4 linked regions of the Struthio camelus genome follow. The protein of the gene in region 1 purifies or fractionates together with the protein of each later gene. This does not show direct contact. Links are inferred from orthologs where the notes say so. Each region holds a gene or a part of one and is shown on either strand. Other genes may lie near its edges.

Evidence for each region.
Region 2: the proteins of EFTUD2 (region 1) and SART1 purify together in Homo sapiens (affinity purification with mass spectrometry; 4 studies listed by BioGRID and IntAct, with this or other methods). This does not show direct contact. The link is inferred for Struthio camelus from reciprocal best matches to the Homo sapiens genes EFTUD2 and SART1.
Region 3: the proteins of EFTUD2 (region 1) and PPIE purify together in Homo sapiens (affinity purification with mass spectrometry; 3 studies listed by BioGRID and IntAct, with this or other methods). This does not show direct contact. The link is inferred for Struthio camelus from reciprocal best matches to the Homo sapiens genes EFTUD2 and PPIE.
Region 4: the proteins of EFTUD2 (region 1) and DNAJC17 purify together in Homo sapiens (affinity purification with mass spectrometry; 4 studies listed by BioGRID and IntAct, with this or other methods). This does not show direct contact. The link is inferred for Struthio camelus from reciprocal best matches to the Homo sapiens genes EFTUD2 and DNAJC17.

The regions. Positions count from the first base shown.
Region 1 is NC_090966.1:726,356-734,323, forward strand, and holds the start of EFTUD2 (116 kDa U5 small nuclear ribonucleoprotein component), read left to right. Parts: upstream 1-4,954; 5' UTR 4,955-5,061; exon of another isoform or gene 5,062-5,133; intron 5,134-5,404; 5' UTR 5,405-5,405; coding exon 5,406-5,510; intron 5,511-6,492; coding exon 6,493-6,658; intron 6,659-7,108; coding exon 7,109-7,187; intron 7,188-7,968. Other genes in the region: CCDC103 (coiled-coil domain-containing protein 103), read right to left, coding at 1-406, 2,321-2,453, 4,090-4,232. UniProt on the Homo sapiens protein: Required for pre-mRNA splicing as component of the spliceosome, including pre-catalytic, catalytic and post-catalytic spliceosomal complexes. Component of the U5 snRNP and the U4/U6-U5 tri-snRNP complex, a building block of the spliceosome.
Region 2 is NC_090976.1:737,774-744,687, forward strand, and holds the start of SART1 (U4/U6.U5 tri-snRNP-associated protein 1), read left to right. Parts: upstream 1-3,904; coding exon 3,905-4,307; intron 4,308-5,041; coding exon 5,042-5,096; intron 5,097-6,164; coding exon 6,165-6,220; intron 6,221-6,316; coding exon 6,317-6,443; intron 6,444-6,535; coding exon 6,536-6,641; intron 6,642-6,780; coding exon 6,781-6,858; intron 6,859-6,914. Other genes in the region: amino acid transporter heavy chain SLC3A2, read right to left, coding at 1,066-1,504, 2,997-3,005. UniProt on the Homo sapiens protein: Plays a role in mRNA splicing as a component of the U4/U6-U5 tri-snRNP, one of the building blocks of the spliceosome. May also bind to DNA.
Region 3 is NC_090964.1:8,126,541-8,134,089, forward strand, and holds the start of PPIE (peptidyl-prolyl cis-trans isomerase E), read left to right. Parts: upstream 1-4,535; 5' UTR 4,536-4,598; coding exon 4,599-4,629; intron 4,630-4,711; coding exon 4,712-4,810; intron 4,811-5,774; coding exon 5,775-5,818; intron 5,819-6,272; coding exon 6,273-6,299; exon of another isoform or gene 6,300-6,602; coding exon of another isoform or gene 6,603-6,641; intron 6,642-6,879; coding exon 6,880-6,961; intron 6,962-7,395; coding exon 7,396-7,496; intron 7,497-7,549. Other genes in the region: PABPC4 (polyadenylate-binding protein 4), read left to right, coding at 183-270, 443-562, 1,114-1,241, 1,907-2,000, 2,125-2,255, 2,345-2,431. UniProt on the Homo sapiens protein: Involved in pre-mRNA splicing as component of the spliceosome. Combines RNA-binding and PPIase activities.
Region 4 is NC_090946.1:4,485,356-4,493,363, forward strand, and holds the start of DNAJC17 (dnaJ homolog subfamily C member 17), read left to right. Parts: upstream 1-5,000; 5' UTR 5,001-5,166; coding exon 5,167-5,244; intron 5,245-6,044; exon of another isoform or gene 6,045-6,133; intron 6,134-7,209; exon of another isoform or gene 7,210-7,238; coding exon of another isoform or gene 7,239-7,277; intron 7,278-7,424; coding exon 7,425-7,494; intron 7,495-8,008. UniProt on the Homo sapiens protein: May negatively affect PAX8-induced thyroglobulin/TG transcription.

The sequences.
Region 1 (7,968 bases):
TGGTGCTCGTGAGGTGGGCTTCTCTCTCTGCTTTGCAGTCAGCTGTGCCACTGAGACGGCCAGTGGTCCAGTAATTTCTGTTCATGCTCTGCAGCTTCCTAAACAAATCTCTGCTGCTCTCCTTCTCTGACTCACTGAGAAGATCCACATTCAACCCAAAGCGCTTGGTGTTGGAAAGGCTTTGTAAGATCTGCAGGATGGCATCTCCGTCTTCATGACAGATGTTCTCTGCCAGCACAGTAAGGAATTCACCCAGGAGGCCAAACCCCAGGTCAGCCTGAAAGATTCTGCCCAAGGCCTTGCCTTCAAGTTTAAGCAAAAGCTGGTATTTTTCTTTTCCGCTTGTTAAGCATCTGCGCCAATCTCTGTAAAATTCAGCAGAGGTTCCAGGCAGTTGATCTAGTTCCTGCAGGAAAAAACTGTTTTGTTCCCACTTGAAAATTTTTATCCCCCCTTACCAATCCATGGGTGTCTGACAGACACTTTTAATACAGACTTTAATAGCATAAAGAGGTGCATAAAGCTACTGAGGTGGCAAAGTATGCAGGAAGATAAACAAATATCAGGTTAGACAAGCCCAGAGGAAACCAGAGAACTTCAGAGGGAAAGAACAGAAGAATGGGTGAGACATGAAACAAAGTGTGGAAGATAAGTAGTGGAGTAACCCTAAACCTAGTCAGAACTACTCAGATGAACTGCTGAGCCTGGATCCACTGTCACTGCTCAGGAAGGGATCTGCTGGAGATTGTGGTACTTAGTGAAAACCTCTGCTCCATCTCAAGCACCATGAAGCAAATCAAAGGGACGAGGAGATAAAAGATATGGGATGTAAAACCCAGAAACTGTTCTGATGCCCCTAGCACGCCCTTTCCTTACATACTGCATTCCTACGGGCCTGTGGTAATGTGCTTGGACTAAAAGAAAGAGACATGCTCAATGTGGCATCTCCAGATAAAAGGAAGTCTTTTTTATCCAACATGTAATCAGATTGCTGAACTCATCACTGCCAACTTAACTCAAGCGCAGATTGAAGTAGGATTAAAATGTTTAGGCTTTTATACAGCTAGTGAAAACAAGCCACAGCAATAACAGGCTGTGTTTAAATACAAAATGTAGATGCCCTGGAGATCAGAGCCCAAGCACTAATGAGATTAGGAACAGAATTTCCTCTAGGAGGATCACTGTTCAGTGCAGCCAAATCTAAAGCTGCCTGGAAGAGTTGCAGAAGGATCTCATAATAACAGGCAAATGAGATTCACTGTCAAAAAATTCATGAGATGCTTGTGAGAAGCATCCACGGGAAATATCTCTAGCTACATGTTCAGGGATAGACTCTATTGCAGCTCCCATCCTGCAAGAAATTATCCCTGTCACTGTGTCACTGGGCCAGTAAAAGTCATCATGGATAGTCTTCTGAAAACATCAGCTTATGCTCAGCAGCAGTCAAACTGGCAAAGCCAGTGTGGGGAGTTAGTAGGAAAGCAACTGAAAATAAAACAGAATGATTGCTTTGTGATTGTATAAATCCACAGGGTACCCATACCTTGAATACTGCCTGCAGTTTGCCTACCCTTTTGCACAAAAATAAGCTAGCACTGGCAAAGAGAAGGGCAACAAGGGTGGTTGGAGGTACAAAATGCTTTCTATATCAGAAAGCATTAAACTGACCAGGACTTTTCAGCTTGGACAGAGTCCACTGAAGGGGGTAGGACAGGTGTCAGTTAAATCACAAATGACCGGGACAGGAAATGTTTATTTACTATTTCCCACAACTGAAGAACTAAGGAGCATCCCAGGAACTCATCAGGAAGTAGGTTTAAAACAAACAAAATAGTACTTTTTCACAGCATGCATAATTACACTGTGAGGTGAAAAGGGACAGGCCATATCACAGAAGATATATCATCTGTGGCTATTAAATGTGACAATCCTCATGCACAGACTGGCTCTCAGTCTCTAAACTGCAGCCAGCTGGAAGAGTATGGACAAGGGAGGGCACTCTTCCCCAAGAATCTGTTACTGGCCAGTATCAGAGGTGGGATATTGGGAGCTCTCCTCTGACACTGTACAGCTGGTCCTAGATTGCCAAACAGTTGAAATAGCCTCTTCTTGAAGCAGCTGGTGCAAGTCCTTGTCAGACACAAAATAGGGGCCAAGACTGAACCCTGAAGTTATCTAATTCCAGTATTTCTGGGGATTTTGAGGGCTTGTTCCCAGGTAGAAATATTTTTGAATAACTCTTGCACTTTAAAATAATACCCCACATTATTCCGGAGTAATTTTTAGATGTGGACAAAGTCCCAGAAAATGTCTCCTTCACCTGGGCTATTTCCACGTTGCTGACTTGCTCTCCTTTAGTGTGGGTTGCACAAGGATTCCACAGCAGGTTTCTTTGCTTACCCATTTTGTCCTTTTTCTCTAGAGGCTTCAAGTGTGATGCCAGCACGATATCCCTGCAGGCAACAGAAGAGGAATGGGATATTTAGCAAGATCAAATGCTTCCAGGCTTTGAGTCTCTTCTGCAGTGCCTGCTGTGAGGCTGGCAATTTCTGAGTTTGTGGCATGATACATATCAAACAAGATCTGGATTCAAATCAGATCATGAAGCATCATTGATGGATCAGAGGAAGAGAGAGGATATCGCATGGGGCACCTGGCAGGTACATCTTGCTCACATACTCAGTATTAACCTAATCATCAGGATCAACTAAGCAGGAATTTCCCCAGAGGCTGGACTGCTCTAGAGCACTACGATGGTACCTCCCCAGCATGGGGAACAGGAGCTGGGCATTTCTGACATTTTTACCTTGCCAGAGCCAGGGCCCAAAGAAATGGCAGGACACTTTTGTCCTGCCCTTTTCTTACGGTACACTGAAGATTTTGTCACTTTTAGGCTTTCACGGGAAAGGTCCTAATTTTCTACAGCGCCTAGGGATTGTTTTGTAGTTTGCAGAGTGCTGGACTGGTTATGTTTTTGTGGATTCATTTGAATTCAGTGTCTTATTACACTGATGTCTATGACCACACCAGCCCGGACTCAATGCCTCATGTGGTTCCTTTTGTTTCATGGGATGAACCTCTGTCTCTAGTTAGGCCTCACAATAATTAGCTGGAGGAGATCTTTTGAGCAGTCCCTGCTACTATGCTAGTGAGCCTCTCTAGTAAAGGCACAGCACCCACAGATAGAAGCTGTTCTGTTACCTCCCTCAGATTACTTCTATCTTTAATAATACAGCTGCATTGCAGATTTTGTGGACAGAGTAGGAATGCAGGGTTTTTTTTCCCTATACTTTAACCAACGAATACTACACTGATAGAACTCTGCAGCATAGAAACATGTTCACAGGAACCCTTTTATAGGGACCAGAAGACAGAAGAGAAAATACCATTTCAAAATTTTCCTTCCCTTTCACAGATCTGATAGCATGACTGAATGCATGTGGAGGTGAGACCATGAATGCAATTTGCTCTAGTCATGGATCAGTCTATCAAGGGTGCTCAAGTTCCTGGATCCATCTACAGATCTGGCTGTGGATATCAGTGGGCGAGAACTCAGTGGGGATCAGCTACAGTTGGGGTGGCAATTGGAGCATTCTGTGCTGCCTGCCTCCAAGGAGCTTGCCTGCCATCCCAGGACCATGTTTCAACCCTGCTCAGAGCTCTGGCTGCGTGATGATGACTTTGGGAGCAAGAATACCCTGAGTGGGGTGCTGGGGACCATGTATCACCTTGTCCCTCTGTACTGCCATCACTGCGTGGGGCTGAGAGAGCCTGAGGGGAGGAAGGAGGTCAGGACAAAAACAGTTGGGTGACCACATTAGTGTATAGTGAGCTTAGGCCTGTCTCTAAGAGGTCTCAGAATTAATCACCATCACTCATGGGGTTGTGCTGGCTCTGTGTCAGGAATATCGAGAGCCAAGCACTGGGCACTGGCGAGTTAGAAAAGTGACACTGACCCGCTCAATCCTAATCCCTCTAAACTCGAGGGAATACAGCAGAGGAAGTTAACAGATCTCTGCAGGACATGAAATAAAACAAAACTTCCCTTGAAGAAGGACTTCTGTACTGCGAGGACAGCTTTCGGCAGACCTGAACTCCTCGTAAGATGCCACTTTCTGGTGCACGGCCCGGAACTTGGCGCTGTTTTCCCTCTCATACTTCTCGTCGGCAGCCACGGCTGCTCGCAGCTCTTTCTCCAGAGCGCTGAAGTCGATCGCGCCGTCTGCCTCCATTGTGCACCTAGGAGCAACGGAGAGCGTGGGCCCAGGCTGCCGAGGCGATGGTGGTGGAGCAGCCCCCTGGGCAGGGGGCCAGCACCCGCGGCAGGGCCTAAGCGGCACCCGACACGGGTGCAGGGAAGGGGTCCAGCCAGCGGGCGGGATGGTGGGGCCCCGAGAGGGAGGAATCACCCGCCAGGAAGGAGGCTGAGGGCTGAGGGGACACAGGGACAACCGCTCATATCGTGACAAGCACGATGGGCTGGTTTGAGCCCACAGCCCACTGTGGGGACGACTGCTTCTGCCACGCCAGCCCTGCCGGGCTGAGCACACTGCTGGCCGCAGGGACTCCTGCTAATATCGCGACAGCCCCACTAGGCTGAGCGCACCCCCGACGTCAGGGACACCTGCTGCTATCGCGACAGCCCCACCAAGACGAGCACGCGGCCAGCCTCAGGGATACCCACTCGTACCGCGACAGCTCCACCAGGCTGAGCGCACCGCCGGCGTCAGGCACACCCGCTCCTATCGCGACTGTCGCGACGGACCGGGCTCCCCACCGGGCGCGCGGGCGCCCCTAGCGTCGCCATGGCGACAGGGCAGCGCGGCGAGGCCCCGACTCGGGGCTGCCCCGGACGGCGCCTGACAGAAACGGCCCGCCCCGCCGCGCCGGGCGGCCCGGCCCGGCCCGGGGCTGCCGAGACCCCGCCAGGACCCCCGCGGCACCGCCCGCCTCGGCCCCGCGGCCCTGCCGGCGGGCCTGTCCCGTCAGGCGGCGCGGGCAGCCTGGGGTCCTTGCGGCCTGGTGGCGCGCGGCGCCGGCGGCGAGGGCAGCGCGCGGCGGGTGAGCGGGGCCGGGCGGCCCGGCGGCCCCGGGGCAGGGCCGGGAGCGACACGGGCCTCGCCGGGCTCCGGGGCACGGAGCAGGATGGGGGGATCCGGGGCGGGGCAGGCCGCACCGGGCGAGGAGCCCCGGTGCAGGGCAGAACCGATACGGGGGGCAGTGCAGGCCGTAACAGGCCGGGGGTCCTAATGCAGGGCAGAACCGGGATGGCATCAGTGCAGGCCATAGCGGGCCGGGGGTCCCGGTGTGGGGCAGTCCCGGGGATGGGGTCAGTGCAGGGCAGTGCACGCAGCAGTATCACCACCCACCCGCTGATCCGCGTCCCTGTCCCTCCACCCTGCAGCATGGACACCGACCTGTACGACGAGTTTGGGAACTACATCGGGCCGGAGCTGGACTCTGATGATGACGATGATGAGCTGGGCAGAGAGTCCAAGGATCTGGACGAGGTGAGGGATGGGGATGGGTTGAGCTTTGGAGTCTGGGGGGAGCTTTGCATGCACGCTGTCCTGCCCATTACTCGCCTTGTTCATGCTGGGTGCAAAAAGGGCCGCACGGAGCAGGCACTGAGCCCCCAGCCAAACCCATGGTCATCACAAGCTGCCAGCAATTCCTTTTCCCTGCCAGGCCCTGGTTCTGCAAAAAACTTTCTTCGGTGATGGACTCTGATCCTATTTTATTCCTAATGATAGTAACAGAGTTGATTTAAAAAAAAAAAAATCCAGCAAAAGCTGCATTCCTGTTAGTGTGTTAAAGAGAAAGAAATACCGTTTCTGCTTGAGTCTCTGTTACAATCTTAGGTAGTTCAAGCCATATTTGACTTTGTACTCAATCAGAAGATCCAGATCCTTTCAGTAAGGTCCTTAGGCTGCCTCTTAGTCCTTTCTTAATATACACTAATGCTATGGCAGTATTGTAAGGAGCTCAATTCCCCAGTGATGGGCACAGTGTAAGACACTGTGGACACCAGAGCAGAGATATGGGCAGTGTTTATAAGGACAGCAGAAGGGGGCGTTCTGCTGTGCCATGTCAGTGAAAGGTTTGGAGGAGCTAGGAAGCCCCTCCCAGTCTAGTCTTCCTACAGCTAAAAAGTGGTGTCTGTTGTGTTTGTGAATGAAGGACAAGAGCTGCTCTCCGTGCAGGCATCACTGCAAATGCTGTAGTTTTAAAGGTGGCCTGTGGCTTTTAGGAATGGTGCCGCGGTGGGAAGATTCATCTTGCTTATGGAGATCTTTTCTGCAAATCGCGCTGCAGTTGGTTGCAATATGCCGGGGTTGTCATCATCGGTGGCTCTTTGGCTGTATGTGGGCTTATGGCTTTTTTTTATTGTATGATGCCAAGGCCTATAAGACTTTCTGGGGAGACTGAGGGTTATAAAGCAGTTTGATGCCCTGGGGGATGGCAGCAGCTAAACGTGAGTGTTGGTTGCAGCTCGAGGATGATGATGAGGATGATGATATGGGAGACCATGACGAGGACCACCCTGGGATGGAGGTGGTGCTGCATGAGGATAAGAAGTACTATCCCACTGCTGAGGAGGTCTATGGGCCTGAAGTAGAAACAATAGTACAAGAGGAAGATACGCAGCCTCTCACTGGTAAGTGGTGTAAAGCAGTGAGTTGGGTGTGGAGCGAGGAGAAGTCTCTTAGCAGATCTTTGGAAAAGGGAACATATTACTCCCTTCCATTCTCCCCATTCCCCATGACTTTTAACATCCCTCTTAAAAACCCTCACAGCCTCTAAAATGCATAGACTCTTCCTGTTTGTCTAGCAGTGTCCAGATTTTGGCACTCTGGATTACTGCAAATGCCAAACAAACTATCTTTTGAAGAGCAGACATTGGCAGACACTAGAAGGTTATTTAAAGAGATGTGAAAATATGTTTAAGTCATCTCATTTGTTTCTCCCATAAAAAGATAAAAGAATCTCTCAGCTTGAAAATTGTGTTTCTATCTTCAAAAATCCCCGTTTAGTATTAGCATTTCTGAGAACACTGTTGTTCAGGGTCATTCATAACAATTTTTGTTGTACTTTCTCTTGTTTTCAGAGCCTATTATTAAACCCGTGAAAACTAAAAAATTTTCTTTGATGGAACAGACGTTACCGGTTACTGTCTATGAGATGGAGTAAGTAATATGTAGGGGTTTTAAGGGTGTACTTTGAATCAATCCGTCTGTGCTGTGACTCTCTTGCTTTTTGTTGTTTACAGGCAAAGGTAGAGAGGCAGAGTAGTGTGCGCTATAACGGAGGAGAAAGCTTAGGAGGAGCATTGGGTTTGTTTCTTACTGACACCAGCAATATCACTGTGAGTGCAGCCGTTTCCCCTATTTTGAGGCAAAAAGAAGAGGAAGAAAGCACAAGAGTAACAAATATTTGCCTTGCACAGTATGCGGTGTAGGGCACTAATTTTCCTACCACTAGAACTTAAATCTTTTGTCATTTCTTATCAGCTGGTGTAAACCTTGGCAGTTGGAAACCCTGATGGTATGGGTTTGCTGAAAGCAACTTTTCTTGATTGACACAGCAAAAATTTATATGGCCAGTGTGTTGCACACTTCATATTGATATAGCCGCACTTCATATTGATATAGCCGAAAAGGACATTTTGCTTTGATCCCAAAGAACATAGGCCTACAGCTGTCTCAAATTCATTCCTGTCTATTCTGGAGGAGTTTGCAGGAAGGATTTGTATACCACCACTTGTGCATGAACCACTGCCAAGTTGTGTGTAGGTTAGTATAAAGCTGCAGCTAAGCTGTGCTTCTGCTGCACTTGATGGTATCTGCTGGTTGTACCCTGCAAAGCGGTCCCTGGGGATACCAGAATCTGGAGCAAACCACTCAGAAAAAATTCCAAACAGAAAATTGAGTTATTCTCTCTCAAATCCTATCTAAAAGTGCTTTTTTA
Region 2 (6,914 bases), on another chromosome or scaffold:
AGCCAAGGCCACTTCTGCCATCCTATGGGGAGGAGTCCCTACAGGGCTACCCCATGGGGAGCCAGAACCACCTCATGGGGAGGAGACCCTGCAGGGCCACCACATGGGGACTGAGGGCCACCTCTGCCACCCCATGGGGAGCCAAGGCCACCCTGACCACCCCATGGGGAGGAGACCCTGCAGGGCCACCCCATGAGGACCCAGGGCCACCTCTGACATCCCATGGGGAGCCAAGGCCACCCTAGCCACCCCATGGGGAGGAGACCCTGCAGGGCCACCCCATGAGGACCCAGGGCCACCTCTGCCACCCCATGGGGAGCCAAGGCCACCCTGACCATCCCATGGGGATGAGACCCTGCAGGGCCACCCCATGAGGACCCAGGGCCACCTGTGACATCCCCTGGGGAGCCAGGGCCACCCTGACCACCCCATGGGGAGGAGACCCTGCAGGGCCACCACATGGGGACTGAGGGCCACCTCTGCCACTCCATGGGGAGCCAGGGCCACCCTGACCACCCCATGGGGAGGAGACCCTGCAGGGCCACCCCATGAGGACCCAGGGCCACCTCTGCCACCCCATGGGGAGCCAAGGCCACCCTGACCATCCCATGGGGATGAGACCCCTCAGGGCCACCCCATGAGGACCCAGGGCCACCTGTGACATCCCCTGGGGAGCCAGGGCCACCCTGACCACCCCATGGGGAGGAGACCCTGCAGGGCCACCCCATGAGGAGCCAGGGCCACCTCTGCCACTCCATGGGGAGCCAGGGCCACCCTGACCACCCCATGGGGAGGAGACCCTGCAGGGCCACCCCATGAGGACCCAGGGCCACCTCTGCCACCCCATGGGGAGCCAGGGCCACCCTGACCACCCCATGGGGAGGAGACCCTGCAGGGCCACCCCATGAGGACCCAGGGCCACCTCTGCCACCCCACGGGGAGCCAGGGCCACCCTGACCATCCCATGGGGATGAGATCCTGCAGGGCCACCCCATGGGTACCCAGAGCCACCCCACAGTGCCACCAAGCCACCCCCTACCCCATCCCTCCCTCCCTGCTCCTCACCCGTGAGGTTGTGGGCGAAGGGGCCGGGAGGAGCGCGGTAGAGGAAGCCGCGGCGGGCCCAGGAGTCCGGGGGCAGGGGCCGGCAGCGGGGGGCGCGCACCACGATGGCCACGGCAGCGCCCAGCATGCCCAGCCAACCCAGCCAGAAGAGCAGCAGCAGGGCGGCCCGGGCTCGTGCCCACCCCGCCGCCCCGGCCACCCGCACCAGCTCCTCCTTGCCCAGCCCCGTGAACTTGGCGCCCGTGCCGCCGCCGCCGCCTTCCTCGCCCTCCTCTTCCTCATCCTCCTCCTCGCCGGGCGCCGCCCCGCCAGCGGATTTCGGGGGCGCCGCTTTCACCAGCCCATTTTTCTCTTCGACGCCACCGGCCATCGGCTGCTTCTCGGCGTCCAGTGTCGTCAGCTCCACGTCGCGCAGCGCCGCCGCCTCCGGCTCCATGGCCTGCGGGTGAGGTGGACGCCCCCGCGTTGAGTCTCCTGGGCACCCCGAGATCCCTCCCAAGCACCTCGAGATCCCCCCAAACCCATCTGAGCACCCTCAAATCCCCTTCTCTGGGAGGAAAATGCTCCCAAACATCTCCAGATCCTCCTAAGCACCCACCAAATGCTCCTCCAAGGATACCGAGATCCTCCTGGGCACCCCGAGATCCCCCTGGACCCACCTCAGCATATCCAAATGCCCATCCAAAGACCCTAAGATCCTCCTGGGCACCCCGAGATCCCCCCAAACCCATCTGAGCACCCTCAAATCCCCTTCTCTGGGAGGAAGATACTCCCAAACACCTCCAGATCCTCCTAAGCACCCACCAAATGCTCCTCCAAGGATGCTGAGATCCTCCTGGGCACCCCGAGATCCCCCTGGACCCACCTGAGCACACCCAAATGCCCATCCAAGGACCCTAAGATCATCAAGGACCCTGGGCACCCCAAGATCCCTCCCAAGCACCCTGGGATCCCCCCGAACCCACCTGAGCACCCCCAAATCCCCTTCTCTAGGGGAGAGATATTCCCAAACATCTCCAGATCCACCTAAGCACCCCCAAATGCCTCTCCATGGACCCTGAGAGCCTCCTGGGCACCCCGAGATCCCCCCAAAGCCACCCAAGCACCCCCAAATGCCTCTCCAAGGACCCCGAGACCCTTCTGAGCACCTTGAGATCCCCCCAGAGCCATCTGAGCAGCCTCAAATTCCCCCCAAGCACCCTGAGGTACTCCTGGGCACCTCAAGATCCCCCTGGACCCACTTGAGCACCCCCAAATCCCTCCCCAACCATCTCCAAACCCACTTGAACACCCCTAAGTCTCCCTCCTGGCCACTCTGAGATATCACCCAGGCCTCCCCCAGACCCACCTGAGCACCCCCAAATCCCCTCAGGCACCCAGGACTCACCTGGGCACCCCCCAGTGCCCTAAGAGCCTCTGGAGCACCCCGAGATCCCCCTGAGCACCCCAAGATCATCTCTAGGTACCCCCAGACTCCACCCCAAACACCCTGAGATCCCCCTAGGTGCACCCAGACCTTGCAGGGTCCCACTGTGCACCCCAATATCCCTGCAGGCACCTAGAGAACCCCCCACCGGGCACCCCAATATCCCCATGGGCACCCCCCAGACCAGGCAGGGCCCCACTGTGTGCCCCAAGACCCTCCCGGGCACCCCCAGAGCGTGCAGAGCCCCACTCTGCACCCCAATATGCCCCCCAGCACCCCGATATCAGGCACCCCCAATAATTTGGGGTCCCCCCCCAATCATCCATAGCTAAATCCAGGGTCCCCGGACTCCTGGGTCCCCACGTCAGGCAGGGTACCGCGCCCTTTTCCCCTAAAAACAGGCATCTCCCCTCAAAATAGTGGGGCCCCCCCCAAAATAGTGGGGAACCCTCCGAAAAGCAGGAATCGCCCTCAAAAAGCGAGCCACCCCTCCCCCTCCCCGTACTTGCGTCATCCTTACTGTCACCTATGGGACGGGCAGCGGCGGCGCTGGCTCTATATAGAGCGCCCGTGCCCCGCCCCTCGCCCCGCCCCTCCGCCCCTCGCCCCGCCCCCTCCGCGGCCTAGCTCCGCCCCCGCGGCCGCAACGCGCCAGGATCAAAGTGCAGGAAGTGGGGGAGGGGAGGGGGCGCCGAGACAATGCCCCATTGTTCCCCGCCGGGTGGGGGGGAAGGGGCGGCGCCGCCCTTCCCCCACCCCGGCCCCCCCACCCCAAACCTCGAGGGGGCCCCAAAACGCAGCGCGTTCCCCCACCCCGGGGTCTGGGTCCCCCCCACCCCCAAACCTTGGGGGTGGTGGGACATGGCCCCTCCCCCCGGGCGCCATTTCGGGGTGCCCCCAGGGGGCCGCCATCTTGGCTTGCCTTTGCAGCAGCCATTTTGGGGACACCCCCCCCACCTTGGCCACCATTTGGGGGGGCCCCCAACTTGGAGACCATTTTGGGGTCCCCCCTTCCCCTCCCCGGAGGCCGTTTCTGGGGCCCCCGCCGCCCCCCACGGAGACGCCATTGTGGTGTTTTCCGCACACACACGGAGCCGCCATTTTGGTGGCCCCCTCAGGAGGCCGCCATTTTGGTGACGCCCTGGAGGTCGCCATTTTGGTGACACCGCCCCCCACCCCCGCCTCCACGTGTCCTGCCGGTTCCTGCCCGGACGCCTGGGTCCCTGGGGGTGGGGGGGCACCGGACTCTGCCCCCTTCTCCCCCCCCAACTTCCGCTGCGTCCCCACGGCAACGCGGCGCGGCCCCGCCCACCAGAGGAAGTGACGCCTTGAGGGGGCGGGGAAGACACCGCGGCTTCCGCCGGAAGCGGCGCGGCGACCCCGGAAGCGGCCGCCGGCGGGAGCGGCGCGGCCATGGGCTCCTCCAAGAAGCACCGCGAGCGCGGCGGGGCCGAGGCCGGCACCGAGGAGGCCCCGGCGGCGGCGGCGGCCCCGGCAGCAGCAGCAGCAGCGGCGGCAGCAGCAGTGGCGGCGGCGGGGGGAAGCGGCGGCGGTAGCGGCGGCAGCAGCAGCGCGGCGGGGCGGCCCCGCGAGCACCGCAAGCACCGGCACCGCGGCGGCGAGCGGCGCGGCAAGCGCAGCCGCTCCCGGGGCGAGCGCGGCGGCGGCGGCAGCGGCGGCAGCGGCTCGTCGCGACGCGGCGGCACCGAGGAGTCCGGGCGCGGCGGCGGTGGCAGCAGCCATGGCCGAGGCGGAGCCGAGCCCGACGCGGGGCGACGGGGCAAGAGGGAGCGGCGGGAGGAGCGGGACGAGCCCGGTGAGAGGGCCGGGGGGTCCCCGGGGGGCGTCTGGGGGCGGCTAGGGGGCTTGGGGGGGCGTCTGGGGGCGGCTAGGGGGCTTGGGGGGGCGTCTGGGGGCGGCTAGGGGGCTTGGGGGGGCGTCTGGGGGCGGCTAGGGGGCTTGGGGGGCGTCTGGGGAGGGTGTTTGGGGGAGGGCGTTTGGGGGCGGCTGGGGGGCTGGGGAGGGCGTTTGGGGGCGGTTGAGGTGCTTGGGGGGTGTTTGGGGGTGGCTAGGGGTGGTTGAGGGTTTGGGATGGGGGGGGTCTGTGGGGACCTTTAGGGGAGGTTAGGGGGCTTGGAGGGGTCTGGGGGCCTCTGGGGGTGGTTATGGGGCCTGGGTGGGGGTAATTAGGGGGTCTTTGGGAGTGGTTAGGGGGCTTTGAGGAGTACTGGGGGAGGTCCTTGGGGGAAGCTATGGGGCTTTGGGGAGATCTAGGCGTCTCTGAGGGTGATTGGGGGCCTTGAGGGTCCTTGGGGGTGCTGGGGGGTCTTCAGGGGGTGCTGGGAGGGGTCCTTGGGGGGGTCATTATAGGGCTTTGTAGAGATCTGGGGGTCCTTGGGGGTGGTGATGGGGCTTCGGGAGGTTCTCGGGGGTGGTTGTGGGGCTCTGAGGACGGTTATGGAGCCTTGGGGTGGTTGTGGGGCTTGGGGAGGGGGGGTTACGGGGTACTGATCCCCCTCGTTAGCTAACGACCCCCCTTGCCCCCGCCAGCCACCGCCTCTAAGGCCGCCGCGGGCGAGTCGTCGCTCAGCGTCGAGGAGACCAAGTGAGCCAGAGCCCCGCGGGGCCCCCGATACCCCCAATACCCCTCTGATGCCCCCAGTTACTTTTTGTAACTCTTAGTTGCCCCAATATTGCTCTGATACCACCCGATTATTTCTTGTAATGCCCGGTTACGCTAGTTTTTCTCTAATACTCTCAGATTATTTCCTGCAACTCTTGGGTCCGCCGGTGCTGTTCTGATATCTGTCATTTATCGTAGCCGACTCGTAGTTATACCGACGCTTTTCTGATACTTTTTCTTACACTCTCGTTACTCTGGCAAACTCCCGACACCCCAATTACCTCCTGTAACCCCTCGCGTTGCCCCCGTTACTCCTGGTCGCTCTCCGATACCCCAAACAACCCCCCAGTTCTCCTGATAAGTTCTTGGTGCTGCCCAGATTTTCACCACTGTTGTTCTGGTGCAGTTCTAAGTATTTCTAGCGTATAGTTCTTTTTTTGGCTACTTTTAATACTCAGTAGTTACTTGTTTAAGTTCTAGTGGCTGTTATTACCCTGATATACCCCCAAATCCCCCCGCTTACTCCTCAGTTGCCCCAGTACTTTTCTGATGCTCTGCAGTGCTCCCCCAATGCCGTTTAAAACTGTGCTCGTAACCCCAAAACCGCACTGTTTTGCTCTGATATTCATTCGATGTTTTCCAAGGTTTGGTGAAGTTCCTCAAATGTTTGCAGAAACCTTGAATGTTCTGTGAAAAGTCCCCATAAGGCCCCAAAATGTTCCCAGTTACTGCCAGCACTGCTCTGCGCTGCCCAGTTACCCCCAGTATCACCCCAGCATTCCCCCGTTACCCCAAATATCGTTAATACTCTGCAATTACTGCTGAATGCTTTTTAATTTTCCTTAAATCACTTCAAATGCGTTTGCTTACCATGATATTTATTAATTTTTTTCTAATGCCTGCGCTGCCCCCACCCCAGGGTGCCCCCCACCCCTGTTTGCTCCCACACATTCATTTCCACCACCCCCGTCCCCATATTTGCCCCCCAGGCCTCAATTTACCCCCATATTTGCCCCCTTTTCTCACCCCTTTGTTTTTCCCCGTTTCCAGCAAACTCCGCGCCAAGCTGGGGCTGAAGCCGCTGGAGGTGTCCGCTGTGAAAAAAGGTGAGGAGAAAGTGCCCCCCTCGCCCCACTTTGGAGGGGTTCCCTGTGTTCTTGGCCCCCCCCCAACGCCCCCTTTTTCCCCGTTTTTCCCCCCAGAAGCCGGCACCAAGGAGGACCCGGTGGCGGCCGACGTCATCAACCCGCTGGTGCAGCGGCAGCGGGAGGAGATCCGCGAGAAGCTGGCGGCCGCCAAGGAGAAGCGGCTCCTCAACCAAAAACTGGGGTGAGCCTCCCCCCACCAACCTGCCTCTGCCCCGGCAGCACCCACACGGGTGGGGGCGGCCCCAAGAACCCCTTTTTTTCCCCCGGAACAAGGAAAGTGAAGACGCTGGGCGAAGACGACCCGTGGCTGGACGACGCGGCCGCCTGGATCGAGCGGAGCCGCAAGCTGCAGCAGGAGAAGGAGCTGGCGGAGAAGAGGGTGAGCTCTGGGAAGGGGACCCAGGCGTCCGGGGGTGCCCTGCCCCTGTGCCGGGAGGGGACCCAGGCATCCGGGTGGGTGAATAACCCTCCCTGCCCCCACCATGGGGTTAATTCGGGGCGAAACGGCGCCGTTTCAGGCCAAGCTGCTGGAGGAGATGGATCAAGAGTTTGGTGTCAGCACGTTGGTGGAGGAAGAGTTCATGAGAAGGAAGCGGGTGAGCTCGGGACCCCCTTGGGGACGTCAGGACCCCCTTGGGGACACCCCTGAGCC
Region 3 (7,549 bases), on another chromosome or scaffold:
ACTAAGCAAACAGCTCCTAATGAGAGGTGCAGAGTCAGTGGAGTTAATTGTGTGGCTTCTGATCTGCCTTCTCTCTTATGAGAATTGAGTGTTGAATCCTGGGAACAACTGCCAAAGCATGTTGCAAACGATGTTTGTTATTCACTTCATGTTCCTTCTGAGCTTGTCTCATCTCTCTTCAGGCTCAGAGCAGACCCACTTACTATGCACCCAATCAAATGACGCAGATGAGACCTAACCCACGCTGGCAGCAAGGGGGGAGACCTCAAGGTGAGCATGCTAGACACAGTGCTTTGGTTGTATGACCCTTTTGGCTGTATTTTCCAACAAGAGCAATGCATAGTTTCCCTGCCATGCAGAGCCCCAACCTGCTGCTTGTAGCTGACTGTCGTGATTGCCAGTCAGTTCTGTTTTGAGGATTTCCCCTCCTTTCTTCCATTAGGCTTCCAGGGAATGCCAAATGCCATGCGCCAGTCTGGACCACGGCCAGCACTGCGCCATCTGGCCCCTGCCGGCAATGCTCCAGCCTCTCGTGGCCTCCCTGCCGCTGCCCAGCGAGTTGGTAAGGTGTCTGCCTCCCAGGCTCTTCCCCTCATTCATGGGGAAGGGGGATGGTATTAAGACTTGACTTTTACATCAGACGTGGATAACGGAAGGCTGCCTGGAGCAAGGGGCAAAGACGGCACCTGAATCTTTCCTGTTCCTTGCTGTGCAGTGCAGGTCTGGGGACAATTGGTGCTACAGCAAAGCAGTGGAAATCCAGATGGGTTGCTTTCCTTTCACCTGGAACTCATCTCTACAACTCTGCAACACTTACTGCTCAAAAATGGCTCTGTAGATTATGGGTGGTGGTTTCAGAGTAAAGCATCCAAATTCACTTTATTTCAGGGAATAAGTAGAAAATGTCTTAAAAGCAGATATAGAATCTATGGCTTAGTGTTAGGGAGGGTAGCTCCTTTCTAAAGAAGCCAATTGGATTTTGGAGGCCAGTTTCTAAACCAGTATTAGGCTGTGCAGTGCATAATTAAAGTCCAGCAGTTAATATCAGACATCCCAATTTGCTTGCTGCGTGTTACTGTGGCTGTGTAATTCTGTCCTACTCTTCCTTTTCAGGTGTTGCCGCTGCAGCGCAGAATTTAGCTCCTCGTCCGCCAGTAGCTGCCCCTGCTCCCCGAGCAGTTCCTCCTTATAAATACGCCTCGAGTGTTCGCAGCCCACATCCGGCTGTACAGTCTTTGCAGGTAATGCAGTGGTCTGCTCTGTCAAGTCTGTCTAGTTAACGACAGTCCAACAGGTTTTACACGCAGCTGAAGTGTTTTTACAGAAACTTCAAGCTACTTTTTTATAGTCCCGACAGGGATCAGAAACTGGAATTTAGAAAACTGGCAGTTGTCGTCACATACCTCCGCCAGGGGCAACTTGGTTGATTTGTCTGTCTTACTCTTCTAAGCCCTTTTTATCCAGATTTGCTGTAAGGCTGCTATTCTTGGCTCTTTGCTCTCACACTTTTGCTAGCTTTCACTCTCTCTCATCTCTTTGCTGAATTCTCGCTAGGGTATCACTGAAAGCACAGCTTGCCTCTCTATACACCGCTGCATTGTGCAAAAAGCAAACATGGGTGTTTCTCTTTCTCTGCCATGACATTTGCCTTATAATGCAAGGTCCAGTTTTTATAACTAGGATATTTGCAAGCTACGTGCCCCTGTGTGACATTCTAGTTTTTGAGAATAGGACTTGGAGCGTGTTTGTGAACACAGGGCACCTTATCTGTCCTTTTCTGAAACTGACTCTACTGCAGGCCTGACAGAGTGCCATGTTTTAGAGGAAGGAAGAACTGCCTTGTCTTTAAATATGAAACAATCAGTCTGGCATCTGTTTTTGAATCCTCATCTTTGCCATTCTATAGGCACCTCAGCCTGCAGTACATGTGCAGGGACAGGAACCACTAACGGCCTCCATGCTGGCTGCTGCACCTCCCCAGGAGCAGAAACAGATGCTGGGTAAGTGAATCTCCTGTTTTTTTACAGATCACATCTTATTTTGGAAATCCCATCAGGTTTCAGAGAACTGTTTGATGGAAGCCAGCCTGTCTGAACTGTTTTGTTTGGTTGGTTTTGTTTTTAGGCGAGCGTTTGTTCCCTCTGATTCAAGCTATGCACCCCAGCCTTGCGGGGAAGATCACAGGAATGCTGCTAGAGATTGACAACTCGGAGCTGCTGCACATGCTAGAGTCTCCAGAATCCCTTCGGTCAAAGGTAAATTGGCCTGTTCCTTCAGAGGGGGCGTGGATTGGGGCACCTTAGTGAAGAGAACAGGTCTCACTTTGATAACTTGTCCACCCAAGGTGGAGGAGGCTGTTGCAGTGTTGCAGGCTCATCAAGCCAAGAAAGAAGCTGCCCAGAAGGTGGGCGTGGTTGCTGCTACCTCTTAAACCAGGAAGACTGGTGAGTGTCCCGGTCCTCAGCTTCCGATAAAAGTTTCCCAAATCAGAGTACATAAAGCGTTATTGTCAGTGTGTGCAGCCTGTCTGGAAACCTGTGTGTAGGTCCAGGTGCAGCACTGACTGAAAGACTGATGCATTTTCTCCAATAGAGAATCGTTACGGTAGAAGCTGTAGAGGTATGCTTCAAAGATCTCACTGTATTTAAGTATCAGAAAGATGTTGCATAGGTTCCTGAAGTGTCAACTACTAGGAGCATGTCAAGGAAGGATAATATATTGAGATGAGGCTTCTGAAGCTGCTAATCTAGGAAATAAAAAAGGTAAAAGATGCACAAGATGTTCCAGTGACTTCAAGGCTAAATAGACTGCTAATGCCAGTTCCTTATCCTGACAATCATCTGCCTACAGTATATATTAAAGTCCTGGTGTCAGGAATGTCATTTCATTGTGTAGGTTTATCCAAGCAAGCACTGTCTGTGTTTGGTCCTGGCTCTCATTTGACTTCTGGATAAGATTTTTGATTCTTTGAAGGTTCTTTTTGCTTTTGTTGATGAATTCCTCCATGTGGGTTTGTCTGGACTTAACCATGAACGTCTTGCACTTTTTGTGAAGTTGTTCTGGTCAGATGTCACAGGAAGATGTCACAACTCCAAATGGTAAAGAATGATGAGGGTTCTTATATTTCATTAGTGAATTTCTGAGTGGATCCAGTGATTGGCTTCTCCACGAAAGATGTGAATTTCTTACCAAATCATCAGCAATGGATATTATCCGCAAGAGGAAGACAACTTCTCTGTTCGTTGCAAGTTATACTGGAGTCCTTATGGTTTATAACGCTGGATAGTTCACTAGCCTGGTGTGAACTATGCCATATGCAGATAACTTGTCTTCCTCTTTTTTTACAGGATGCAAAGAAGCCAAATAGTCCCTTCCTAGACATCAGCTCAAGATGTTTGAAGATTCTTCACTGTCCTGCAAATCTCAGTGCCATGCATCATATCACATAGTTAGTTATATTGCATTTTGTAAATTAATCTTTACAATCTTATTTAAAAAGCCAGCTCCATGAAGCTCTAGATTTCCAAAACCAGAATTAAGTTTGCAAGCTTTTCCTTTGTGGTCAGGACAGTTACCCTTTGTCTTTTCTAGGCAGGACATCGAGGATTTCTGATTGAAAGTTTTTTGTGGTTTTGGTTTTAACTGAACAATCCAGTTTGGAAAGTCTGGAAAGCGTTTATCAATAAAGGAATAAAAACTTTCACTACATTTGTTGTCTTTTTTCTAGAATGTAGTAAGCTGCATCACATTAACTTATCAAATTGAACTGGCAGGCAGTTGTCACATGATTGATATGTTAAATCGTGATTGAATTGAGTTATTCTGCTTGTTAACTTTGGACAATCACAGTTTTGGAGCAACTGTGCTAAAGTTCTGCCACAGGATGATTATGTTGGGTTTGGTTAGTGTCCAAATGGTGAATATAACCAAGTGGTGACCTAATAGAAGGCAGTGGGAGGCATTTTTCAAGTGGAGCATGAAAGAGGTTTGGATCGCTTTTTGTTGCCTGTGGGAGAAGAAATTCTTTCCTGCTCTTCGCATATATTCTTCCTTCTTTCAGCTGGATGTTTTCCTTAGTGGTTCTGTCATTACAGAACAATCTGGCTTTTTTATACTCTACAAGGTGGCTGTATTCTGGTGGTGAGGTTAGTAAATGCTTTGTAAACCATTTTGGGTGATCCTTTGGGATGAAAAGCATTTGGTTACCCTGTAAAAGGAGAATGGCTGCTCCCTAGTGGAACTGAGGCTTAATTTGGACTTGCAAAACTAGAAACTTGTGCCTGAGAAGGTCCTCGAAAAGCAGAAAGACCTCTCATGTGCATTGTAATGTTGTTTTGCCTGCCTGTCCTGTGGGGGGGGGGGTATTTTTATTTTTATTTAAGAGCAGGAGAGGGTAGTAAAACATGCAAGTATCCCCCTTGGAAATCAGGTAGTGTGACACACAACACCGGACCTTCCACGTCGGAGGCGCTGCCCGCGGGGAGCCCCGGGCGCGCCGGGCCGGGCCGGGCCCCGACGGCGGCGGCGGCAGCGGGGCGGGGCGGAGCCGCCGTGCGGTTCCGGGGCAGGGGCCGGGCGGAGGCTGCCGGGGAGGGAAGATGGCCACCACCAAGCGGGTGCTGTACGTGGGTGAGCGGCGGGGCCGGGGGCCGGCGGGCGCTGCGCGGTCGGGGTCGGGGCGGCGGGCGGTAACGCGCTGTGCGCCCCGCAGGCGGGCTGGCCGAGGAGGTGGACGAGAAGGTGCTTCACGCCGCCTTCATCCCCTTCGGAGACATCACCGACATCCAGATCCCGCTGGACTACGAGACCGGTGCGTGGTCCAGGGCGGGGGGGCGGCGGGGAGGGGGCTCGCCGGGGCTCCCTGCTTCAGCCTGGGGGCAGCAGCTTCTTCCAAGGGCTCCTCGCCTCGTCCTGGGGCTCGTGGGCTGGCCCTGGGGCTTGTGGTTTCGTCCCAGGGCTCAGCACTTCAGCCTGGGACTGGCCACCCGATCCTTGGGCTCAGTTCTTCATCCCAGGACTCCTCACCTCATCCTGGGCTCACGGCCCTAATCCCATGGCGCCTAGTTTCATCCCAGGGTTGGTTGTCTTTGGTCCTGCAGCTCATAGCCTGGTCCCAGGCCTGCCTGCCTCCTCCTGGGGCTCCTCATCTTATCCCAGGGCTCACCACTTCCCCTGCCATCTTGGGATGGGCTGCTTGGTCCTGTGGCTCACTCCTTTGTCCTGGGACTCACAGCCTGGTCCTGGGGCTGGTGGCCTCATCCTGAGGCTTGCAGCATTGTCCTAGGGCTCCCCACCTCATCCTGGGGCTCACCACTTTGTCCAGGGACTGACTACTTGGTCCTGGGGCTCAGTCCTTCATCCCAGGGCTCATGACCTGGCCCTGGGGCTTGTGGCTTCATCCCAGGGCTCCTAATTTTGTCCTGGGGCTCCTGATTTCATCCTGGACTGTCTGGCTGGTCCTGGGACTCACTGCTTGATCCCAGGCCTGTCTGCCTCATCCTGGGACTCCTCACTTCATCTCAGGGCTCACCACTTCATTCTGGGACTGACTACTCATTCTGGGGCTCACGGCCTCGTTCTAGGGCTCCTCACCTTGTCCTGGGGCTCACCGCTTCATCCTGGGACTGGCCACCTGGTCCCAGGGCTCATGGCCCGGGCCTAGGGCTGGCTACCTAGTTCTGGGTCTCCTCATGTCACTCTGGGGCTCGCTACTTCATCCCAGGGCACACCTCCTTATCCCTGCTCCCTTTGACTGCTCGTTTTTCTCTCCGCAGAAAAGCACCGAGGATTTGCCTTCATTGAATTTGAGCTGGCAGAGGTGAGGAAGGGGCAAATACTTGAGCAGTCTGGAATCTCTTCTTCCTTCCGTGGCATTTTAGACCAGATCCTCCTCTGGTTGAAGACAGCAGGAGTTTTGCAGCTGATTTGAGCAGGCACAGGTTGCCTGTCCTAGCTATGGGCCATTCTCCAGTAGCTGCAGTCGAGTTGCTGTTTTGTCTTTCCGAGTTCCCAGTTTTCCCATTGTCTTTTGGGCTGAAGCATGGCCACTCCTGGTCCAAAACACCCGCTTGCTTTCCCTAGAGCTCATTTTGTCTTCAGCAGCAGTGGGTGGGTTTCTCAGCTTGGTTGGAGCATGGGATGTCATGACCTATCGTGGGCTTCATTAGGCAAGATCTCTCGTCTCCTTTCCCAAATATTAGTGTAAACAATCAAGGATCTTACATGAAAAGAAGAGAAAAAATGGCAATAATGATCTTTCCCTCTTTCCCCAGGATGCTGCAGCAGCTATTGACAACATGGTATGGGCTCTGTTCCCATCTGCATGCTGAATGCTGTCTTGGAAAGTGAAATCGCTGCTCCTCTCCTCACAGCGTGGGGCTTCGCCCTCTTCCCAGTAGGAGCAAGGCAGATTGTTTCAGAAATACCTGTCAGCTCATCTCCTTCCTCCGCATGCCTGATACCGCACCATTCGCAGGAGGGGAAGGAGAGCACAATAACAGCCCCAGAACCGAGCTGTCCTGGGCAGCCAGTGTTGGGAACGGACACGAGCTGGCGATAACCCCAGCAAAGTTTAGCGGCAGCTCTGGCTGTGTATAACGTCGATGAAGCTGTCTGCAAAAACAGGGCGGGCGCTGCTTCAGGTGTGGCCCCGGGGGGCGAGCGCCGGGGCTTGAGCGCTGCTGTGGACCAGGTCCTTGCCCGCTTTGTTTGCATGTTCGCCGTTGCCTGTGGTCTGGTTGCAAGGTCTGGGGCCCTCAGTCCAAAATCAGGAGGAGGGGGAGAAAGGAAGTTCTGTGTTTCTTTGACCTCTGCAGGGATTTGGAGGGAATAGCGATATTTTACCTTTTGGTGGGCTTTGTTTTGTTTTTTCCTCTACAGAATGAATCTGAGCTCTTCGGCAGGACAATCCGTGTGAACCTGGCCAAACCAATGCGGATTAAAGAAGGATCATCAAGGCCTGGTGAGTCGGTGCTTGCGAGAGGAGCACAGCCCAGTGAACAACTGTCAGCACCTCGCGCTTGCTCCAAAATCGGCCTTTCTTTCTGCTTTCCCAGATCCTGGGGCAGAGACCTCAGCTTGTATTGCTCTGCCTCCCATTTGGGGGTCTCACCAGCATCCTAATAACCAAAAATACCCGATTCCTTGATGAAAACACACTTTGCTGTGCTTCCAGCTGCCTTCATGTTCTCTGACTGTTATTTCCCTGTTGACCTGGGTGGCGTGGGTGGCTGCATGCTTTGTCTTTTGGGGTAGGCTGCTGCCAGCCGAGCGCTCCCGCGTGCGATCCCGCTGCCTGGGCCGTGCTGTGCTCTGACCCCACGCAGCTGCATGCATGCTCACACGTGGCCGTTGGGTTCGGTTCCCATGCTCTGACCCTTCCTTTTGCTGTCGCAGTCTGGTCGGATGACGACTGGCTGAAGAAGTTTTCGGGGAAGACTCTGGAGGAGAACACAGAGGAGGGGGCAGCAGAGGCCCCCAAACCAGAAACACAGGAGGTAGGAAAAATAAATGAGCCAAAGCCACAGGGACTCCTGTGAGCGGAGGAGGG
Region 4 (8,008 bases), on another chromosome or scaffold:
GCTCTGTGCTTTTTAGGCAAGACAGGCCAGGAAGGCGAGGTGGTGGAGTTGCCCTTTATGTGAGGGAGCAACTAGAATGTATGGCGCTCTGCCTGGGGTGGGGTGGGGTGGGGTGGGGTGGATGAAGAGCAAGTTGCGAGCCTATGGGTAAGGCTTAAAGGGCAGGCTAACGTGGGTGACACGGTGGTGGTGGGGGGTTTACTGCAGGCCACCCGATCAGGAAGAGGCAGTCGAGGAGGCCTTCTACAGACAGCTGGAAGTAGCCTCACGCTCACAGGCCCTGGTTCTCATGGGGGACTTCAAGCACCCTGACATCTGCTGGGAAGAGAGCCCAGCTAGACACAAAGAGTCGAGGAGGTTCCTGCGGAGCATTGAGGAGAACTTCTTGACCCAGGGGGTGGCGACGCCAACAAGGAGAGGTGTGCTGCTGCACCTGGTTCTAACAAACCAAGAAGGTCTGGTTGGAGATGTGCAGGTTGGGGGCAGCCTTGGCTGCAGTGACCGTGCGATGGTAGCGTTCAGTATCCTAGGAGGAGGAAGCAGGGCAATAAGTAGGACGGCAACGCTGGACTTGAGGAGAGCTAACGTTGGCCTCTTCAGGGACCTACCTAGGGGACTGTCATGGGGTAGGGCCCTAGAAGGAAGGGGCGTGGTGGTGGTGGGGGGTGAGTCCAGGAGAGCTGGTTAACATTCAAGTATCACTTCCAGCAGGCTCAAGACGGGTGCATCCCGCTGAGTAAGAAGTCGAGCAAAGTGGGCCGGAGAGCTGCGTGGCTGAGCAAGGAACTGCGGGCAAAAGTCACACAGAAAGAAGGAAGTCTAGAGAATGTGGCAAAGGGGACAGGCCACTTGGGAGGAACGTAGGGGCGTTGTCAGCGTGTGCAGGGATGCGACAAGGAAGGCTAAGGCCCCTTTGGAATTAAATCTGGCAAGGGATGTCAAGGAGACGAAGAAGGGGTTCTTCAACTACCTCGCTGGCAAAAGGAAGCCTAGGGAAAAAGTGGGCCCGCCGCTGAATGGGGCGGGGGCCCTGGTAACGAAGGCGCTAGAGAAGGCAGAGTTGCTGAATGCCGCCTTTGCTGCTAAGGCCAGCCCTGGGGAATTCCAGAGCCTGGGGACAAGAGAGAACGTCTGGAGAAAGGAAGACTCTCCCTTGGTGCAGGAGGATGGGGTTAGAGCTCGCTTGTGCAAACCTGACAGCCACAAACCCATGGGCCCCACTGGGATGCACCCCGCCCCCCCCCCCCAACACACACACCCCCGAGTGCTGCGGGAGCTGGCGGATGTTATTGCTAGGCCGCTCTCCATCATCGTGGCAAGGTCCTGGAGAACAGGAGCGGTGCCTGAGGCCTGGAAGAAAGCCAGCGTCACGCCAGTCTTCCCAAAGGGCAAGAAGGAGGAGGCAGGAACCGCCAGGCCTGTCAGCCTCACCTGCATCGCTGGAAAGGTGATGGAACAACTCCTGCTGGAGGTCCTTGCCAAGCACGAGGAGGACAAGAAGGTGAGCAGGAGTAGTGAGCATGGCTTCAGCAAAGGGAAGTGATGCTTGAGCAATGTGCTAGCCTTCTGTGTTGGAAGGACTGGCTGGGTAGGTGAGGGCAGAGCAGTGGCTGTTGTCTCCCTGGACTTCAGCGAGGCTTTGGACGCTGCCTGCCATCACATCCTCCCAGGTGAACTGAGGAAGTGTGGCTGAGATGAGTGTGCAGTGAGGTGGATGGAGAACTGGCTGGCTGGCAGAGCTCGGAGGGTGGTGGTGAGTGGCGCAGAGTCTAGTTGGAGGCCTGTAGCTGGCAGTGTGCCGCAGGGGTCAGTGCTGGCTCCAGTCTTGTTCAATGTCTTCCTCGAGGAGCTGGAGGAAGGCACAGAGTGCCCCCTCAGCAAGTTTGCTGATGCTCCAAAGGTGAGCAGAGTGGCTGACACACCAGGAGGCTGCGCTGCCATGCCGAGGCACCTGGGCAGGCTGGCGAGCTGGGCGGAGAGGAACCTGCTGCAGTTCAACAAAGGCAAGGGTAAGGTGCTGCACCTAGGGAGGAAGACACCCCTACACACACACAAGCAGCAGGACAGGCTTGGGGGAGGGAGGGAGGGAGAGAGAGTAGGGGGCTGACCTGCTGGAAAGCAGCTCTGCAGAGAAGGAGCTGGGAGTGCTGGAGGACAACAAGTGAAGCATGAGGCAGCAATGTGGCCTTGTGGGGTGTGGCATCCTGGGGTGCCTGAGGAAGAGTGTTGCCAGCAGGTGGAGGGCAGTGCTTCTCCCCGTCTCCTCAGCCCTGGTGTGGCCACATGTGGAGTAGTGGCTCCAATTCTGGGCTCCCCAGTACGAGAGAGAGAGAGAGAGAGACATGACACTACTGGAGCGAGTTCAGTGGAGGGCTACAAAGAGGATGGGGGGAGAGGGGGACTGGAGCATCTCTCCTCTGCAGAAAGGCTGCGAGAGCTGGGCCTGATGAGCCTGGAGAAGAGACGACTGAGCGGCGATCTCATCAACGTGTCCAAGTATCTGGAGGGAGGCTGTCGCGAGGATGGGGGGCCAGGCTCGTCTCCGTGGTGGCCAGTGACAGGACAAGAGGCAACGGGCAGAAACTGGAAGCCAGGAAGTTCCATCTGGACCTGAGGACAAACTTCTTTCCGGAGAGGGTGACTGAGCACTGGACCAGGTTGCCCAGAGAGGTAGTGGAGTCTCCTTCGCTGGAGCTATTCAAAACCCACCTGGAGGCGATCCTGGGAAATAGCCTGTAGAGGACCCTGCTTGAGCAGGGGGATTGGACTAGATGAGCTGCAGAGGGCCCTTCCAACCTCAACCATTCTGTGATTCCGTGATTCTGGAGGCACAATCTCTCCTTCTGGCAGACAGCACAGGAATGTTCAGTGGTAGGCAATCCATATTGCAAAGGAAAGTGATCCAAGCAGTTTTACTTCCCCTGTGCTGGCTCTGGCACAGACTGGATGAAATGCACGCAGAGAGCCCCTTTTCGCATTGGAACTCTTAGAAAAGAGCTATGCATTTTAAAAGCCTCATTAGCACTGTGAGAGCACAGTAGAATTACCTGAAGTGAACACGTAAGACCAGGAAGTTTGCCCTTACAGCTCCAGTCCTGAGCATCAACTAAGATCTTTCAGTTTGACTCCATGCTGGACCACCCTGTACCGCTTTACAGATGAAACCCAAATCCCAATCTGTTTCTTGGAAAACATGAAAGAATTACACGAACAAATTCTCTGAGGAGGGAAGACAGTGTCCCATCACAAAAAGCCAGTCCCTCTGTTGGTGCCGTATTCTCCTCTGCTACTCACCTTTCTCTGGGTGCTAGCCTCTGAGTGCTGCCATCTCTTTGCAACTTCTAGGACCTTTTCCTTCCTCATGTTCTTTTTTTGCAATTCAGCAGCAGCCCCTGCCAGAAGTTTTTTCTTCTCTTCCTCTAGTTGTTTTGAGTTCAGACTCATGGGGCAAACCTTAGCTTCGCTTTTCTGATTGAGATCATTCAAGATCCGCCAACACCCAAACAGAACATGCTGGTGACTTGATGTCAGCCTTCCCAGGGCACAGCCAACATCAATAATGCAATGGTATAAAAGCAGCTTGTGGCTCTCTTTTAATTGGGGTAATAACAAGAGAAGGCATGCCACAGCAGGATCTAGACTGTACATAGACAGCAGCAAGTTCACTATTCTGTAGTTTACAGTGAGATAGCAATGCAAAGGTATCCCAGGTCCTAATGTGTAATAACAGAGCACAGAATGGTGAGGAGTAGCAAAAGGTCCTCCCTGGGGAAGGATCACCTTACAGAACTAGAGAGGAGCAATCCAAACAATATAACCTTGAAAGGAAGGAAACACCTCCCAGGCAGAGATAGCAAGAACCACTCTGGAGCTCAGTGGCTGCTCTTGGTTCATTTGGGAGCCCTAAGGTGAGGAGAAGGACCAACAGGACACCTACTCCTTCTATAAGCTAGATAGGGAAGTACATGCTCCCTTCCTACTATCACACCCACCCACCAGATGATAAAAATAGATCTTTGGAAGCCAAAACAGTAACAGTCCTTCAGTGGCAAAGCCCTCAGCCAGCTCAGTTAGCAGGACACCCATCTGCTGGGCTAGGCTTCTAGTATCAGGGGATTGGTGTACCTAAGAAACAAGGAAGAGGGCATGGGAAGAAGGCAATGAGAGGAAAGGGGGAAAATTAACTCAAAGCAAAATATGGGTAACCAAGACTGGCTTAATGGAGGCTAACATATAAAGATGCATCTACTGATCTTGGAAGTCTTGGCTTCCGAGTATTTAGTATGAGACTTTCAGGATTCAATTCTCAGAGGTGTTGAATGCCAACTCCTCCAACTGCAGTTGCACAGGTAGGGAAAGAGATACTGAAAGTGGAGGATTGGGTGCTGCTGAGTCCCAACGACAGCTCTGTCACTGCCTCCAATGTGAATAAATCGTCATTTTCAGCAGTGCCAGCCAGCAGTTCCCACTAACGTTTCCGGGAACAGCTGGGTGTGCAGCACTGCGGGAAAAGGAGAATGAGGTAAGAATTTCTCAGGGGGAAGGTCATTCACCATAGCCTCGAAGGCACAGACCCAACTCCTTCTTTTGCAATCTCAGGCTGCCCACTTAAGCTCTCTGCACTTCCTTTACTGGAATAATTAACAGGATTCTGCCCAAAGATGTGAAAACCGCGCCTTGGCCCCAGCACACTGAGCAGTCCAACCACGCAGCGCATGCAGCTCTAGTGCTTTCCGGCATAGCTTGCTGTACCAGTCACACACCTCTCTGCAGCCTGACTTTACGTCTGGCCTCACCCACCGGTGGCGCAAGGCCCGGCGGGAGTTGTAGTCCCTCGGCCGGTAGACCCCACTTCCAGGCGCCGCGCGCTCTTCCATGAGCGAACTACACCGCCCAGCGCACCGCGCCAACGCCCCACTATCCGCGCCATGCCTGCTGGGAGCGACCAGTGCGCGCCGAGGCACGGACGGCTTCCCGGCCTGCCGCGGGCCTCGCGGTGCGTTGTGGGACTTGTAGTCGAGCTGTCGCCCCCCTCCCATTCCGTCACGCCGGTACTGCGGCAGCAGGGGGAGGGGGCGCGGAAAGACTCCATTTCCCGGCAGGCAGCGCGCGGAGCGGGCCCGAGGTGCTCGGCAGCAGCTGGAGGAGAAGCCGGTCGGTGAGGAGATGGCGGTCGATAAGGATGTGTTGCAGCTGGACCTGTACGGCCTGCTGGGAGTCGGGGAGAAGGCGTCGGAGAAGGAGGTCAGGACCGGGGCTTCCGTGGTGCGGGACCCCTCTGCTCGGCGGCTTCAGCTTTTCTGCTTTTCACGCAGTAACGGAAGTTCCCGCCGCTTCATAAGGGGAGGAGAAGGCTGGGCTTTGGGGTTGTGTGCTTGCGCTGCTCCCTGCATCGTCAGTGCAGCGATGATCCCGAGCGCCGTTTTAACGCGGTGTTGCTGCTATGGGCGCTGCTGCGTTTGTAGTTGGCGTGGTGCTGCGTTGTCGCCCGTTAGCTGCTGGCTGCTGCACTTGTTAACAGGACAAAGAACTCCTTTTTTTTAATGTTGGCCTGGCTGTGCTCAACTGACGCTTCTGTTTTCTGGTCTTAAGTCTGTGGAGGGAGACTTGGTTTTGGAAGAGGATGAAATCAGTTGAAATGAGTTGCAAACTTCCAGTTAGCCTCAGCCAATATTTATTCTATGTTGTTTGTTTATGTGCCTTCAGAAGGAAGGCTCCTCTCTGGTGTTTACAAAAGAAAAAAAAACTCAGTTATTAGAGATCGTTTTTAGCTACTGTAGGTCCTCATCAGATATCTTACTAATTTTGTGCTCTTTTAAAAATTACAAGTTCCTATTTTTTCTCTAATTAAAGAGCTAAGTCAATGCTATAAATACCTGAAGGGCCTACACGATTAAATGGGGAAACTGGCTGACCTATTCAAGGGCAGTAAGACTTGCTAAGTAAAACTATTACTACCTGAACAAAGTTTAACTTAAAAGAAAAACTTTATTTTCCCCTGTTAAGTTCCCTCTCTCTTTCTCTCTTTTTTTTTTTTTTTTAAGCAGTAAAGAGCATTAGAAGAACAGTTGAGTAAAACTTGGAAGTCTGGGTCTGTCCAGCAATTGTATCAGAGGCTGCCTGGAAATTCCAGGTACCATAAGCATGAAATCGGGAAATAAGCCAAATATAAAACACAGGATTGAGTGAGATGAAAGACTTCAGTTGACCTCAGCTTTGCTGCTGAGCTGCTCAATGAGGGAGGAAAAAAAAAAGTTACAATTTGAGTGTTACAGTACAACTTAAAAATTGACAAGTGTAATTTGGAGTTCTACTCCTTGGTATAAAATACTTGAAACAACTCAGAGAACTATGTTCAGAGAAGCATCCCCAAAAGAGCTGAACAAAGGGGAGCAAAGCTTACTTAATCTTTGCCTAAAGAAATCTAACTTCTCTGTTTAGAGAAGCCTTAGCTAAACTTACTGTATAGAACAGTTATTCAGATAGTTGTGAATGATGCATATGAGAAGACTTCCCTCTCTTTGCTGAAGTCTTACCTGTGGAGGATATAGAATTAGGCCTATGATGTTTCAGCTACACATTTACCTTCCCTTAGTGTTGTCCACCAGGTGGTGCCCAGCCACCACTTATTTCTTTCAGTCGAATTAAGGCTGCTTGGCAGTTGAACAGAGCAGCTTTTTTTGCATGCATATGTTCCCCCTGATAAAGAGAACTCAAATTGTTAAAAGCCTCTGTAGTGACTTAGCCCATAAAGTTGTCAATTTAACTTTGAAGTGTAGAAGAGATTAAGTAGTCTTTGGTCAAAATTTCTTCACCTGCCAAACTCAATTTTTGTGCAGTGAATTGCACATACTCTGTCCCAAATAGCTATAGCTGCTAAGAACACTGTATGCCTCTGACTGGGTAGAAAACTCTGCCTCAGTGTATTAGATTTGGTCTTGATGATCATGACTGCTGTGGCACAATGCACCTAAAAGTAAAACTTCTGACCTTAAAAAGTTTAAATTGATTGAAAATGTAGCTGTCTCTCTACTAAATGTCCTGGACTCAAATGGTTATCCTTTCAGTACTGTGTGATAAAAAGGGCAGGTCACTGCACTGAAGTTGAAAATTGAGTTTCAGTATTCTCTTGCTATTACAGTAGGCGCCTTCATTTTTTGTGTTTGAGGGACTAATGGCACTCCAAAAATGGTTTTTATTTTCTATCAGGCCCGGGAGACTTCTAGCCATGCAAATGAATGTTGGCTCAACTACAGTCTTCTGCTTATGATAGAGAGGTATGTTTTAAATTGAGCAAAAGCAAACAAACAAAACCTCTGAGTAGGATTTTTTTTTTATGTTTCTGTGGTGCATTTTTCCAAGTTGTGTTTCTCAGAGCAGACCAAACAGTACCAACTGACAAATCTCTGTTCTGGCTCTTACAGGTTAAGAAAGCATACCGCCAGAAGGCCCTGACTTGTCACCCAGATAAGAACCCGGACAATCCCAAAGCAGGTAAGACTGGAACATATGAACACAAACCAGTGTTCTTGTCTGATCCACATGTGCAGATTCCTGGAAGTGGCTCTATTTAACCTCAGGTCTGTCTTTGCATGCAGTTAAGGGAATACCTGATTTTGTGTCATGTGATGTATACACATGCAGGATTAAGAGTTATATTTCTTGCTCGTTTCCTCTGGGTTTTAAGATTAAATGCATGCATGTTGGCTTTCAAAAGCGTAAGTGTTAAGTGAATGCTGAAATTTTATTTGCACTTCTCAAAATCCTTCCATCTGGTACTTGAATCCTGGACCTTTGGCCATATTGTCACTGATGTTAGCTGGCTAGTCATTCTTCTGAGAATCGAAACTTTAATAGCAAGCTTATAAATCATTGTTATATATGGGCAATGCCCATTATTGTCTGTTAGAGAGTAGGCCCTGACTCTGTGCAGCTGAGTACACCTCAACTGTTAGCAAGGTCTGTGGATTCTACAGCTTCTCCATTTGTTTTGCAACTACCGGCAGGT